Drosophila melanogaster: one gene and its partner. The gene in region 1 interacts genetically with each later gene. Each region holds a gene or a part of one and is shown in the gene's direction. Other genes may lie near its edges. The genes, in order: sti and sqh.

Region 1 (8,132 bases):
CGGGTCATTGTGGTGCGGCAGCGTGTGGTTGTTGACAACGCGAATGTCCTTGATGTCCGAGCCACGGAATAGGATGTAGTCGTAGATCTGCGATTGCGGCGCTATCTGGAACTGGGTGTCCCGATCTTCTGTACCGAAGGATCGCACTGAAAAAGAAAAGAGGGTTAAAATGAATTGAGTTATAATATTAAATCGTATAAAGAGTACAATAGTGAACATTTTTTCCGTAAAGTTTTCTTATCCCAGCCGCCATTTTTATTCCATTGCTTTAAGAAAGATCTTTCACAAAACTAAACTTTTAAATTTTTAAATTTTTCCATTGCAAATAAGCTACCTTTTTTGCTTAACCGGTATTCTAAGTCGGTTTTTAAAAGTGCTCCATCTAATAAGTGGAACTTTCCGAGCCCACATCTTTCAAGTTTATATTCCAATTGTTTTAAAATGAATGCACCGCATTATATAATGCAATTGTTCAAAAGACGAATTACTTGGATTGCGGCAAACTTGTAAACCCATTAAGGTTAGGCCGCGCTTCCAATTTAACCTCAACTGGGGAACGCATGTTTTGCCGGTATTTCTCCGCTCTCCGTTCCTCCTTTTCGACTTCCAGGGCACTGACATCCGTAACGGGAGCCCTTGGATCCCGTTATCTGGCGCCAAATCGAAATTGTATTTGCAAATAAACAAATTGCATTGGGGCCTTGCTGGTGCTCGTTACTTTGTGCGCGGGTGTATGTGTGCCAAGTAAATTGCAAAAGCAACACTGTACAACAACAACCAAAGACAAAAACAGGCCAAAGCCAACATGACAAACAAAAAGCATAAGTGGGAGAGCGAGAGACGGCTGTCGAAATGGGTAATGGAGAGAGCGGTGGCGGCAATTGCACTCACCGTCTCCACGAGTATGAAATTACTGTAAAAACTAACAAAAAGAAACGAACCAAAAGGAAAGAAAGAGTAGAGCCACCAACACAAGAGAAATGGACAGAATCCATTTTCTTTTGCGATGAACCGTTTTTTTACACGATTTTTTTTTTCTTTTTTTTTGGCGCAGATTACGGCACCCACATATGTATATCCCGTATATGTACATATATGGGCGACGTGGGCGATTTTCGTATTAAATACTTACCACTCGAGAGCGCAATGGTGCACTCCTGCGGATCCACCGTGTACAGGCGGCCCTCGTATCGAATGTCCGCCTTGGAAATGAGGCTGATTTTGGAGCCCAACTCCGGTAATCCCCCGCTCATCTTGAACTACTTCGATGCTTCACTGCGCACTCACGCCGAAAATACAAACTATTATTAAATGTTTCTGCCAACAGGCACACGAATTTCTCTGTCAAAAGCAAACAATTATAGCGAGCGCGACGACAACGATTTCTCGACGGTTTCAGTCTCTGCTCTTTTACTTTTTTTCCGTCTTTTTTTCACACGCAATTGCGTTCCAGTTCCAGGGCGAATTTGCGGCCAATCGCCTTCTAGCCGCGTTTGCTTTATCAAGCTGTGTTTTTGCACAAGTGCGACAAGCGCTTTTCCAATGTCTGTGATGCTGCACACACGGCTCCAAATGTGAAAATTGCAATTTTCGATGCACAAATCTTTGCTCCGTCCGTCTGCGAAAACCTACCCGTCGAAAATGAACGATGCATACGAGCGAGAGCCTCGACGGTGTTGGAAAGCGCGGTTGTATAGCAGCGGCGGCGGCAGCGAAATAATAATAATAACTGTTTATGTGCAAAACTGTGCAAAATATAAAAGGGGACGCTTCAAAAGGTTGCCAAAAGTAAATAAGACTATTTCATTATTTATCCGTTCTCTGTTTGCATTAAAATTCAAATTTTATCCTCTTTCACAGGGCAGCCCTACTTGCAACCCTAAATACAACTCTGGAAAGTGAGCACGCATCCCTGGCTCTTCGGCTTCCCTCGGCGCATTTTTTTCAAAGCGAAACGGCAGAAAAATGCTCTGGCATTTTACGGATTTCTAATTGTATTATTTATGTGAGAAAATTGCAAATAAAAGTGAGTCCATCATGCCACCCAAGATGGAGCCGATTAGCGTGCGCACCGCGCGTCTGAACAACCTGATTCTGGGCAAAGGAGCTGGCGTCTGTGCGAAGCCCGCTGGAAGCGCCTCCGGATCAGGTATTCCCGCCTCCACCAGGAGAAGCATTGTACCCGTGAGCACCACTAGCGCCGCCGTGGCCGAGGCCATCTGCCGCGAGGGACTCCTGGACGCCTTCTGTCTGCTGTACAACGAGTGCGACAAGGATACGCTGAAGAAGCGCGATCGCAACATCGCCGAGTTTGTCAACAAATGTGAGTCAACTGCATTGGTCAGCAGGGTTTTCGGATGGAGTATCTACCATTCTATAGAAATGGAACTCAGAAGCCACATTTTTACTTCCTCGGGTCAGAGAATCTACTTTTGCTAATCATATTCCATTATTAAAGCCCACAAAATTATTGGGAGTAGAATCTCTTATAGATTTACCTGTATGTTCCGGTTTCCCTCCTTGAAAATAGAGCTCATGCCTAGTTACCCATTATATTACTATCTAATTTCCTACTCCAGTTCGTCCCATCATAGAGGAGACCCGCAAACTCAGGGTCAACGCAGATGACTTCCTCATCAAGACGCTTATTGGCCAAGGATACTTTGGCAACGTTCACCTGGTGGTGGAGCGGCAAACCAACGACATATACGCCATGAAGAAGATCAAAAAGTCGGTGGTGACGACGTCACAAGTCAAGGAGGAGCGCGATATCATGTCCATTCGCAACTCTGAATGGCTAATCAATCTGCAGTATGCCTTTCAGGTTTGTTATTTCCACATTTTCGCATATTTCAGTACTTGAATTAACTTATCACTTAGGATAACGACAATCTGTACCTGGTCATGGAGTACATGCCCGGCGGAGACCTTCTCAGCTTGATGTCACGCCACGGCCCTTTCGATGAGGACTTGGCTCGTTTCTATCTGGCCGAGCTCACAGTGGCCCTGCACACATTGCACGAGATGGGCTATGTGCATCGGGATATAAAGCCTGAAAATATACTGATTGATCGTTTTGGCCATATTAAACTGGCTGATTTCGGTAATGCCGCTGCCTTGGATCGCGATGGCCATGTGCTGAGTTTGTCGCCGGTGGGAACACCGGATTACATAGCTCCAGAGCTGCTGCAAACCATATCCACCTACAAGCTGTCCAAGTCGATGCACGATGTGAGTAGAATTGTACGATCGCAGAGTTTGGTTTGGAAAGTTCATAGCTAAAACAAGAACTCATTTTGTAGGTCAGCTGCGATTATTGGTCCATGGGCATTATAGGATATGAGTTAATATGCGAGACAACACCTTTTCACGAGGACAATGTACACGAGACATACTCCAAGATTCTCTCCCATTGCGAGGAGAGTCACCTTAAAGAGCTCATCAGCTTTCCCGCCGACTTGAAGGTGTCTGTTAACTATAGAAATCTTATTGAGTCACTGGTCACAAATCCTTCGAAGCGATTGTCCTATGAGCGCATTAAGAATCACCCCTTCTTTAGCGAAATTCCGTGGGGTTCCATTCGCTCGCAGGTTCCACCGATTATACCAACTGTTAGGTCTGACGATGATACCTCCAATTTCGAGGACGGAATTCGTCATAAGACTCGCAGAGAACAGGGAGTTGCTAAAAAGTCCCTTACGACTAACATGAAATCGAATGATTTCAGTGGCAAGGATCTGCCATTCATTGGGTACAGTTTTGTGCACATGGAAAAGTCGGCAATTTCCGCTACCACCGATGAAAAGCTTCAGGAGAAGCTAAAGGAACTGCTGCAGAAACTGAAGACTAGAGAGAACGAGATTTCCATGCTGAAACAAGATCTTCTGCGGGCTCAGCAATCGCTGAGGAAGACCGATAACAAATCTCAGGTGGTAGCCGATGCTAAAATGGAAATTAAGAAGCTGCAACAGATTATCAAGGAGAAAACAATGGAGCTTACCACTTGCAAGACGCAAATTAAGACACTCCAAAGTTCGGCCAAAATAGACGAGGAAATGTGGTCCAAGAAGGAAGCCACTATCACCGATCTCCTTCGCCTTAATCGACAAAAGTACGAAGAAGCCAAGATCGCTTCGGAGCAACGATATGAGAAACAATTGGCGGACAAAAAGCAAGAGCTGGCATCCACGCTGCAAAAGTTAGATGCCCGTGAGTTGGAGTTCAATGCCAAGTTCGAAGAGTGCAAGCATTTGTCCATGAAGTTGCAAAACTACAAGGATATGCTGCAGCAGATCAAGGAGCAGAATCTCAAGTCCGAGACAAACCATGAGGAGCAGAGGCGCCAAATGGCCGAATTGTATGAGCAAAAGCTAACAGATCTCCGGAAAAAGGTTCGCGACTCGCAGGATACAAACCGCCGCATGACAATGGAGATAAAGGAAATACGCACCGAGCTGGACGAGTCCATATCCTCCAGCAAGTCCACCCAAGAAGCGAAGAACGCTACCGAGCGGAATATCGAAGAAATTCTGCGGCGTCTGAACGAGGAGATCGCCTCCAATAATGAGCTTCATGCGGAAAAGGTCAAACTGGAGACGAAGCTGCAGCTGAAGGAAAATGAAACTCAAGAAGTTAGAGCCGAATGTCATCGACTTGAGAGGGAATTGCAGGTAGGTGGTTATTCATCTGCATTGGTTAATTCAATCACTGCAATATTGAGTAAAAAAAAATTATATAAAAAGAAATCTTAGCAGGCTGTGAATGTTTGTGTTTTTATTTTGTGTCAAACTTAAAGTCTTAATGATTTTTAATGAAGCATATAGCTTTCGATTGAATCGATGAATATAGAAACCTAAAGATATGTAATTTGTAAATATACTTTATGAATTAATTTAAACTAGCTTGCCGAATGTCGCTGTCAGCTGGCTGAATCCTCACTAGCCACCCAGGTTTCCCCCTACGAAACTGCGCCTGGATCTTTGACCGAACTGAATGCCATTGAGGATCAACTTCGCGCCGACTTGTTAGCCGCCAAAGAGAGTGAAAACCATCAGAAGGGACGCGCCGATCAACTGCAGACGCTGGTTACCAAACTGGAGCAAATGCTGGAGCGCTTCAACGAGCAGAGTCTTTCACCCACGAAATCGCACTCATCGCGTAAGCAAGAAGGTGAAACCGTTGGTGATATGCTCGAGCGGCAAAACGAGAAGCTGGAGGATAAATTGGCAGCAGTGCGAGAGCAGATGATTGTGGAACGTCAGGCAGCGCGTACAGCGAATCTATCGCTCTGGAAGGTGGAGAAACAGCTCGAGGAAGCTTTGTCCGAGAAGAAGTTACTGGCGCGTCGCATGGAACTCACAGAGGATCGGATTAAAAAGGTGCAGAACGCAAGCGATGAAGCGCAGAGAATGCTCAAGACGTCACAGGAGGAAACTCGCCAGCGGGAGTCTCGCATCGAGGAGCTGAAGCAGGAACTGGCGGCCGCCAAAAGGGATGTCCTCAAGGAGCACCGCCAATGGGAAAAGGCCGAGCAGGAGCGCATGAAGTGCAAGTCGGAGATAATCGAGCACTTGGCCAATGTGCACAGATTAGAACAACAGGAGACGGAATTGCGCCAGAAACTCAGGCAAATCCAATCGCGATTTGATGGTGTAACTTTGGAACAGAAGAATACCATTCGAGAACTGCAGGAGGAGCGAGAAAAGAGCAGGAAAGCGAATGACTCTTGTTTGGTCTTACAGAAGGAGCTGAAACAACTCACCGATAACTTCCAGAGGTTGAAGTACGCTTGTAGCATTACCGACAGCCAGCTAACTGAGGTGGAGACCATGCTAAAATCGGAGCAGGAACGAAATAAATCCCAGAAATCTCAACTTGATACCCTTCATGAGAAACTCAGAGAGCGCAACGATCAATTAACTGATCTACGAAAGCAACTAACTACGGTGGAATCGGAAAAGCGTCTGGCGGAGCAGCGTGCTCAAGTGTTGGCATCGGAAATCGATGAACTTCGTCTCAATCTCAAGGAGCAGCAGAAGAAGCTGGTGGCGCAGCAGGATCAGTTGGTGGAGCAGACTAACGCACTGTTTGCCACCCAAGAGAGAGCTGAACTTTTGGATGGGCAAAATGCCAATTACGAAGCCCAAACTGCGGATTCGAATCGCGAAATGGTTAGTTTGAAGGAGGAAAATGCTAGAATTCTCAGCGAGCTGTTCCACAAGAAGGAGGAGGTTGGCAATCTTCAGGCGGAGATAAGGGGCTTGGAGTCTGCGCAAGCCAACTTGCACGCAGAGATCGATTCCCTTCAGGACACTTTGGCCGAGAAGGAGCAGTTCTACGTGCAGCGGGACATTAAATCGAATGCCACACTTGCGCAGCACAAAAAGCTGATTGACTACCTTCAGGTATAGCTAGTTTATATATATTCTTTTTAAGAGAATAGTTAATGAGATTAAAAACATTTTTGTATTTATATTTTAGCTCAAAGTTGAGGACCTATCCGCCAAGAAGAAAAAGACATTGGCGGACAAACTTTTCGGTTCTAGCCACACAAACAAGGAGAACGTGTCACCCAATGACGTGGAATCTTCCATTCTGTATCGCGCTCTAAAGGAGGAACTGAAGCGAGAACAAAAGATGAACAGCTTGCTGAAGGAGCAGTTGGCTCAGTTGAATGGTGGGATTTCTTTAGATTTCGCTTGATGTTTGTATCTAATTGTATATTTCCTTTAGGAACTGCAACCTTGCGCTCTCCACGCAAATCTGCAGCTGTTAATGGCGACTCCGATGCACCCAAACAGAGACCCGTAAGCATTGCTGCCTTGCCACGTTCTCCACAGAAGCAGCAGCAGCCCCTGAAGCGCACCACCAGCCAGGTGGAGCTGAAGACGACGGCGGAGAAACCGACTAAAGTAACCATTGAGAACCAGGCTCATCACCGTTTCGAACTGGCCCTGCAGGAGTCCAAGGTGGATGCCGTCAACTGTGTAGTTTGCGAAAAGGCCGTCGTTGCCGGTTCGCCGTTCTGGAAATGCAAGGAGTGCAAAGATGTTACGCATCGCAAGTGTCGCTCCAATGTTCAGAGCCATTGCGGATCCACCAAGCCGACTGCACCGTCAGCCGATGATCTTAGCAGTATTCAATCTGTCTCCAGCTTGACTTTGGATAGCGTAGATGTTGCGGGTGGTACAACCAGCGGTGGCGAGTACATTGGATCGCTGGTCTACAGTTCGGATGGTGCAGAAGATCAGGCACGGAAGGAGATCGAAGTGAACTGCGCCTTTGAAGTGGCCGAGCAGCAAATACTCCTATTGGGCTGTAACACGGGACTGTATGCGTATCACTTGGACTCGCAGCGATTGGTGCACATTTCTGGTCTCGAATCGGTGAGCTGCATGTCCATTTGCAAGCGCCTGGCTAAGGCTATAATGGTGGGCACAGTTGGCGAGAAGCTATATCAATGTGACTACCGCCAGCTGGAGTCACGCTGTCAGAGCTCCAGTTCGTGTCACAAGCCTGTGCTGGAAACGTCGGCCATTGAGCTGCCATTTGCCAATCGCACGCCATCGGAGAAATGGAAACTAGTGCTGATCTCCGATGAGGCGGAGAACGCATTGGATTCGGTGGCTATTGCGGCCACGTCCACTAGGATTGTCATCTTGAAGTACGACCTTAAGCTGCACATGTTTAAGCCAGTTCGAGCCTTGGACACGGCCACGCCGGTCACATCCATATTCTTTACGCGTCACTCGGCCATTGTTAGCTCGGATAAGTTCTACGAGATCGATTTGGACAACTATGCGGCTGAGGAGTTTGTGGATCTGTCCGATAAGTCAATGGAGAGCACTGCCAAGTGCCAGCCCCTAACTGCGGTGCGCATCTCACGACAAGAGTATCTGCTCTGCTTTGCCGAATATGGCGTCTTTGTGGACGAGTTTGGCTGCAGATCCAGGCCGTACGATTTGAACTGGGTCTATGCACCCACTGGATTTGTTTACCGCGATCCATTCCTATTCATATCGCACTATCAAAGCGTGCAGATAGTCCGTTTGCATCGGTCGTTCAGCAAGGAAATGGCCAGCGGGGATAACGCATCGGAGAATTCGGAATCCCCGGAACTGCAGCGCGTCTAC
Region 2 (4,458 bases), on another chromosome or scaffold:
GACCACCCGGATCGGCTCCGGCGTGGAATAGTACCCGAAGCACGGGAGCATCCTGCGATACACTGGAGCGAACCAAATGGGCGGATATGTCCAGGTGCATATTTGGCTGCTGGAGCTCCAGTAGAGTGGCATTCTGTGGGAGAGAAAGTGGTATGACAAGGCGTCCTTTTGTTGCTTGCCAGGATTTGGGGATAACTCACGTTCATATAATCGCCCGACTGGCTGTCCATTGTGTCCGGCACAATGTAGCGGGCTGGCACCGTTTGTTTCGTGGAAAACGGTCCATAGCTGGCGCGTATGGACACCGGCTGCGTGGTCTCGACCACAGTGAATCTGTCCAGAGATAACACGGAATCATAGGAGGATCGTTGCCGTAACGGCGGCACCGCCGAGGATGTCTGCACATTGGCGATCTCCGGCGTCACAGGTGGTTGGCGGGCGTGCTTCAGAAAGAAGCCGCTGTCCGGCGCCTCGAAGTGCACCTCCACGGAGTCTGGCGAGGATTCGGCATGGATTTGTTATGGGTTGGGAGTAGATGAAGGAGTCAATTAGTTGAATTTTGGTAATGGTAACATAGGGGTTGGGGATTTTCTTAAACCCGGAGGTCACCCACTCCTCCTTTATCCCCCTCCCACTGGCTTACTCCCTCCTCCCACTCCATCGCTTTTTTTGTACCACCCCCCTGGGTTTGGAAACTTTATTTGATACTTACATGCCAACGACAGCTGCAAAGCAATTATGAGGCAGTATCTCATCATCTTGTTCGTGTGCAGGAATCCAAAATATATCGAAATCCTGAAATCCTGTGCCCACCCACTCGTTAATTTGCTAATTAACTGTGCCCGCACTTTCGTTATTTTCACTGTTCTCTCGCTTGTGTGGCTTATTTGACCGTTATTCCGTTAATCGTGCCAAAAGTCAACCGTTAATTCGCGCTGGCTAGCACTTTTCGTCCTTTTTTCTCGCTCAGCAATCCGCAGCACATCCTTTATTGATTCTTTCCAGTGTGCCCACACACCCACACACCAACACACACTCACACGCTGCTCACACACACAGCCGTGGGCCACCTCACACACAGATACACATGCACATGCAGGTATAGACACATCTTCTCCTGCAAATCGCGCAGTTCAGTTCGAAATTAATTGGACCGCAACCGTGCCAATCGATTCGATTTTTCACTCGACTCGCTTTTCACGCGCTGGCAAGGATCTGCTGGGCTGGAAAATCCCTCGTTCGACGCCCTAATGCATGCCTCTTTTCATTCAGGTCTCTCAGAATTTTACACAAATATCGAACATTCCAAACACTTTGCAGTGTGTCCATACCGTATTGAAAACAATATCCTAAGATAGTGGTACTACCGTATTTGGAAGTGCTGTAATATGGGGCTGCCAGACTGTGCGCATACTCCTGAAACTCCAATCAGAACGCGGGCAATTCAAAAAGTTAATACCAAAAAAAAAAAAATACCATGTTTGACAGTGAAGAATAAAGAAAAATAAAATTAATTGGGATTGCTTAAGAAAATTTTTTGAGAAACTTTAGATTCTACAAGAAAAGAGCTTCTTAGGAACGAATATTTTAAAACAAGATCTGGTAGCACAACTGACAATAGGTTTTTAGGATTCTAATAGCCATGGTCCTAGTCTCAGTAGTATTCACATTTGTAATATAATTTTATATTTTATAATATAATTTATAGTCTTAATATTTATTTATTTTAGGAGCTCCAACAATTAGCACTTTTGCACAGTAATTTTTAGCATATTCTGCGGTATTTTCTGATAAATTGAAACCGCCTCTATGCTGGTCACACTTGGCCTTCTCGTCGAACCGAAATTATAAAAGACAAAAGTGCAGCTGGTCGAAAGTTGCATTAACGAAACTTCGATAGTATTAAACACTCGGCATTCGGCAGCTGTGAGTATGAATCAAATCAGGCGTAATCAAGCAATCATATTCGATAAAATAAACGAACTGAACTCCCAAAGGGCGCTGCCCTATGTGAGTGTGCGTGTGTGTTAGTGTATGCGTATGAGTCAGCGTCGGCAGCGCGCAAATGAAAACAATTGTTTTTGTGCTATAATTCCATTTAAATGTCCATTCGAAAGTGATAAATCAACGAAGTCGCAAACATTTGGCCCAACTTGAGTTCTCGAGTGAATTTGGGTGCTTCAACTGCGGTTTTTTTCTGGCCTTTTAAGGCTTTAATTGAAATGCGTGTGCCAGTGTGTGTGAGAATGTTTTCAATGAGCCAAATACGTGTGCGATGTTGTTTTTGTTAACCGCAGTTCAACAGCATTGATAAACTCGCATACACATGCACGCACTGGCGCAGAGCGAGAGCGAAACTCCCATACGTGTCATTTTCGTTTGCGCGAGTGACTCAGAGAGCTGCGCATGTGTGCGTGCATGAGTCGTACTCACAGTGGGCGCCCGATAAGGTGGACTTGTAACTGTAGCGGAAGCATGGAGCCATCGAACTGCTTTTGCATTATCCTTTCTGGCCTAAAACTGTATTAAAACTATTTATTTATAAATATAATTTGTAGTTCGCCCATTTTAGGCAATGGCCAAACCTTCATTCCTTAAAAAACCTTAAAGAGCAGCAATAAGATGTTCTTTCCGTTGTGATAAGCATATGCATGGTGTACTCACTGTAGCGAGCGTCCACTGTATGTTGACACAGTTTGTTTGGGGAGCAATGAAAATCGGTTTCAGCGGAATTCGCTGCAATATGTCTATATATAGCCATAAATACATACCCGGCCAACGAAATGCTAATGTGAGTCGGCGTTTTTCGATTTCAGATCCACGCCGCACACACATCACTCCAGCGCGAAGCACTAGTGCCACCAGCTCCATAGGCCGGCTCCATTTAGCTCCATTAACCGCATCAGAACCACCAATCCAACAGCAACCATGTCATCCCGTAAGACCGCCGGACGTCGCGCCACCACCAAGAAGCGCGCCCAACGCGCCACCTCCAATGTGTTCGCCATGTTCGATCAGGCGCAGATTGCCGAGTTCAAGGAGGCATTCAACATGATCGACCAGAACCGTGATGGCTTCGTCGAGAAGGAGGATCTGCACGACATGCTGGCCTCGCTGGGCAAGAACCCAACGGACGACTATCTCGATGGCATGATGAACGAGGCGCCCGGGCCCATCAACTTCACCATGTTCCTCACGCTCTTCGGCGAGCGGCTGCAGGGCACCGATCCCGAGGATGTGATCAAGAACGCCTTCGGCTGCTTCGACGAGGAGAATATGGGCGTCCTGCCCGAGGATCGCCTGAGGGAGCTGCTGACCACCATGGGTGATCGGTTCACAGACGAGGATGTATGTTGTCAAGTTGTTTACGATATCAAGTCGGAGTGTGCCCTTACAACTTCTTTTCCATTTACATTCACAGGTGGACGAGATGTATCGGGAGGCGCCCATCAAAAACGGTCTGTTCGACTACCTCGAATTCACGCGCATCCTTAAGCACGGTGCCAAGGACAAGGATGAGCAGTAAGATCGCCAGCAGTCGATTCACTAGCCAGCTGCCTCTCCAATCAGCCTGTCCAAACTATCCATCATGAGTTTCGTTTTGATAATTTAATATATACAAGTATAAATATTTTTTTTTTTTGGTTTCGCGCCTTCTGTTCTTTGATTCCTGATAATCCTGTACTTATCCGTGCATTTGAATTAAACAAAAAGTAGCCAACACCAGCGATTGTTATGTACGACAGTGTAGTGTGTGAGATGTTGGTGCCAGATAACACGATTTCCCGAAAAACTCCTTTCATAAGTATTAACTCATTGAATATACATATATATTACCTATATACAAATACATACTTATACAAGAATGTGGCAATAAACCTTTGTTTTTCTTACACTCGAGAACGTGCGCACGTCCAACCAAACAGATGTCTGCAGAAATCCTTCAGCCAAAAGCAACTGATCAAACAAGGGAAACTTTGGAATATGTACCCCCCATGGCTAATTAAGCATGATCACTAGCACGATGTGATAAGTGTATGTAGCTTCAAATGTGGCGGGAAATTGAAAGAGATTTCGGAAATTAGTCAAAATTTTCTTGGAATCTTCGACAAGCTGACTAATGAGTTCATGTCCAAAAGACTCGAACTTGCAAACTCATATCTTATCTCACATTATTTTTGATTCGAAGATATTTCAGCTTCTGCAAATATATGTTTTTCAAGAATTTATTTAAAAAAAAATCAATTAAATAGATGGCTTAATGTTCGAAACACTCAACGTTGTATATTACACACTTTTTGGACAACTATTAATTTAAAAGAAAACACGAACATTTGAAAATCTAGAAAGACACGGACACAAGAATTACAAACCAGACAAAGAGGCGTCTAAACACTAGGCAAATTCTATGTACAAACAAGGCGCTACGACTACAAATTAATGGTTAATGGTTAATGG

The links.
Region 2: of sti (region 1) and sqh, changing one suppresses a phenotype caused by changing the other (phenotypic suppression), as found in Drosophila melanogaster (one study listed by BioGRID).

What each region holds. Positions count from the first base shown.
Region 1 is NT_037436.4:12,508,573-12,516,704, reverse strand, and holds the start of sti (sticky), read left to right. Parts: upstream 1-1,889; 5' UTR 1,890-2,037; coding exon 2,038-2,323; intron 2,324-2,579; coding exon 2,580-2,824; intron 2,825-2,880; coding exon 2,881-3,243; intron 3,244-3,302; coding exon 3,303-4,670; intron 4,671-4,901; coding exon 4,902-6,404; intron 6,405-6,480; coding exon 6,481-6,676; intron 6,677-6,732; coding exon 6,733-8,132. Other genes in the region: tral (trailer hitch), read right to left, coding at 1-146, 1,133-1,253.
Region 2 is NC_004354.4:6,222,475-6,226,932, reverse strand, and holds sqh (spaghetti squash), read left to right. Parts: upstream 1-1,792; 5' UTR 1,793-1,926; exon of another isoform or gene 1,927-2,236; intron 2,237-2,412; exon of another isoform or gene 2,413-2,522; intron 2,523-2,775; exon of another isoform or gene 2,776-2,816; 5' UTR 2,817-2,928; coding exon 2,929-3,348; intron 3,349-3,421; coding exon 3,422-3,526; 3' UTR 3,527-3,872; downstream 3,873-4,458. Other genes in the region: dtn (detonator), read right to left, coding at 1-133, 201-493, 713-758. UniProt on the Drosophila melanogaster protein: Required for cytokinesis, could regulate contractile ring function.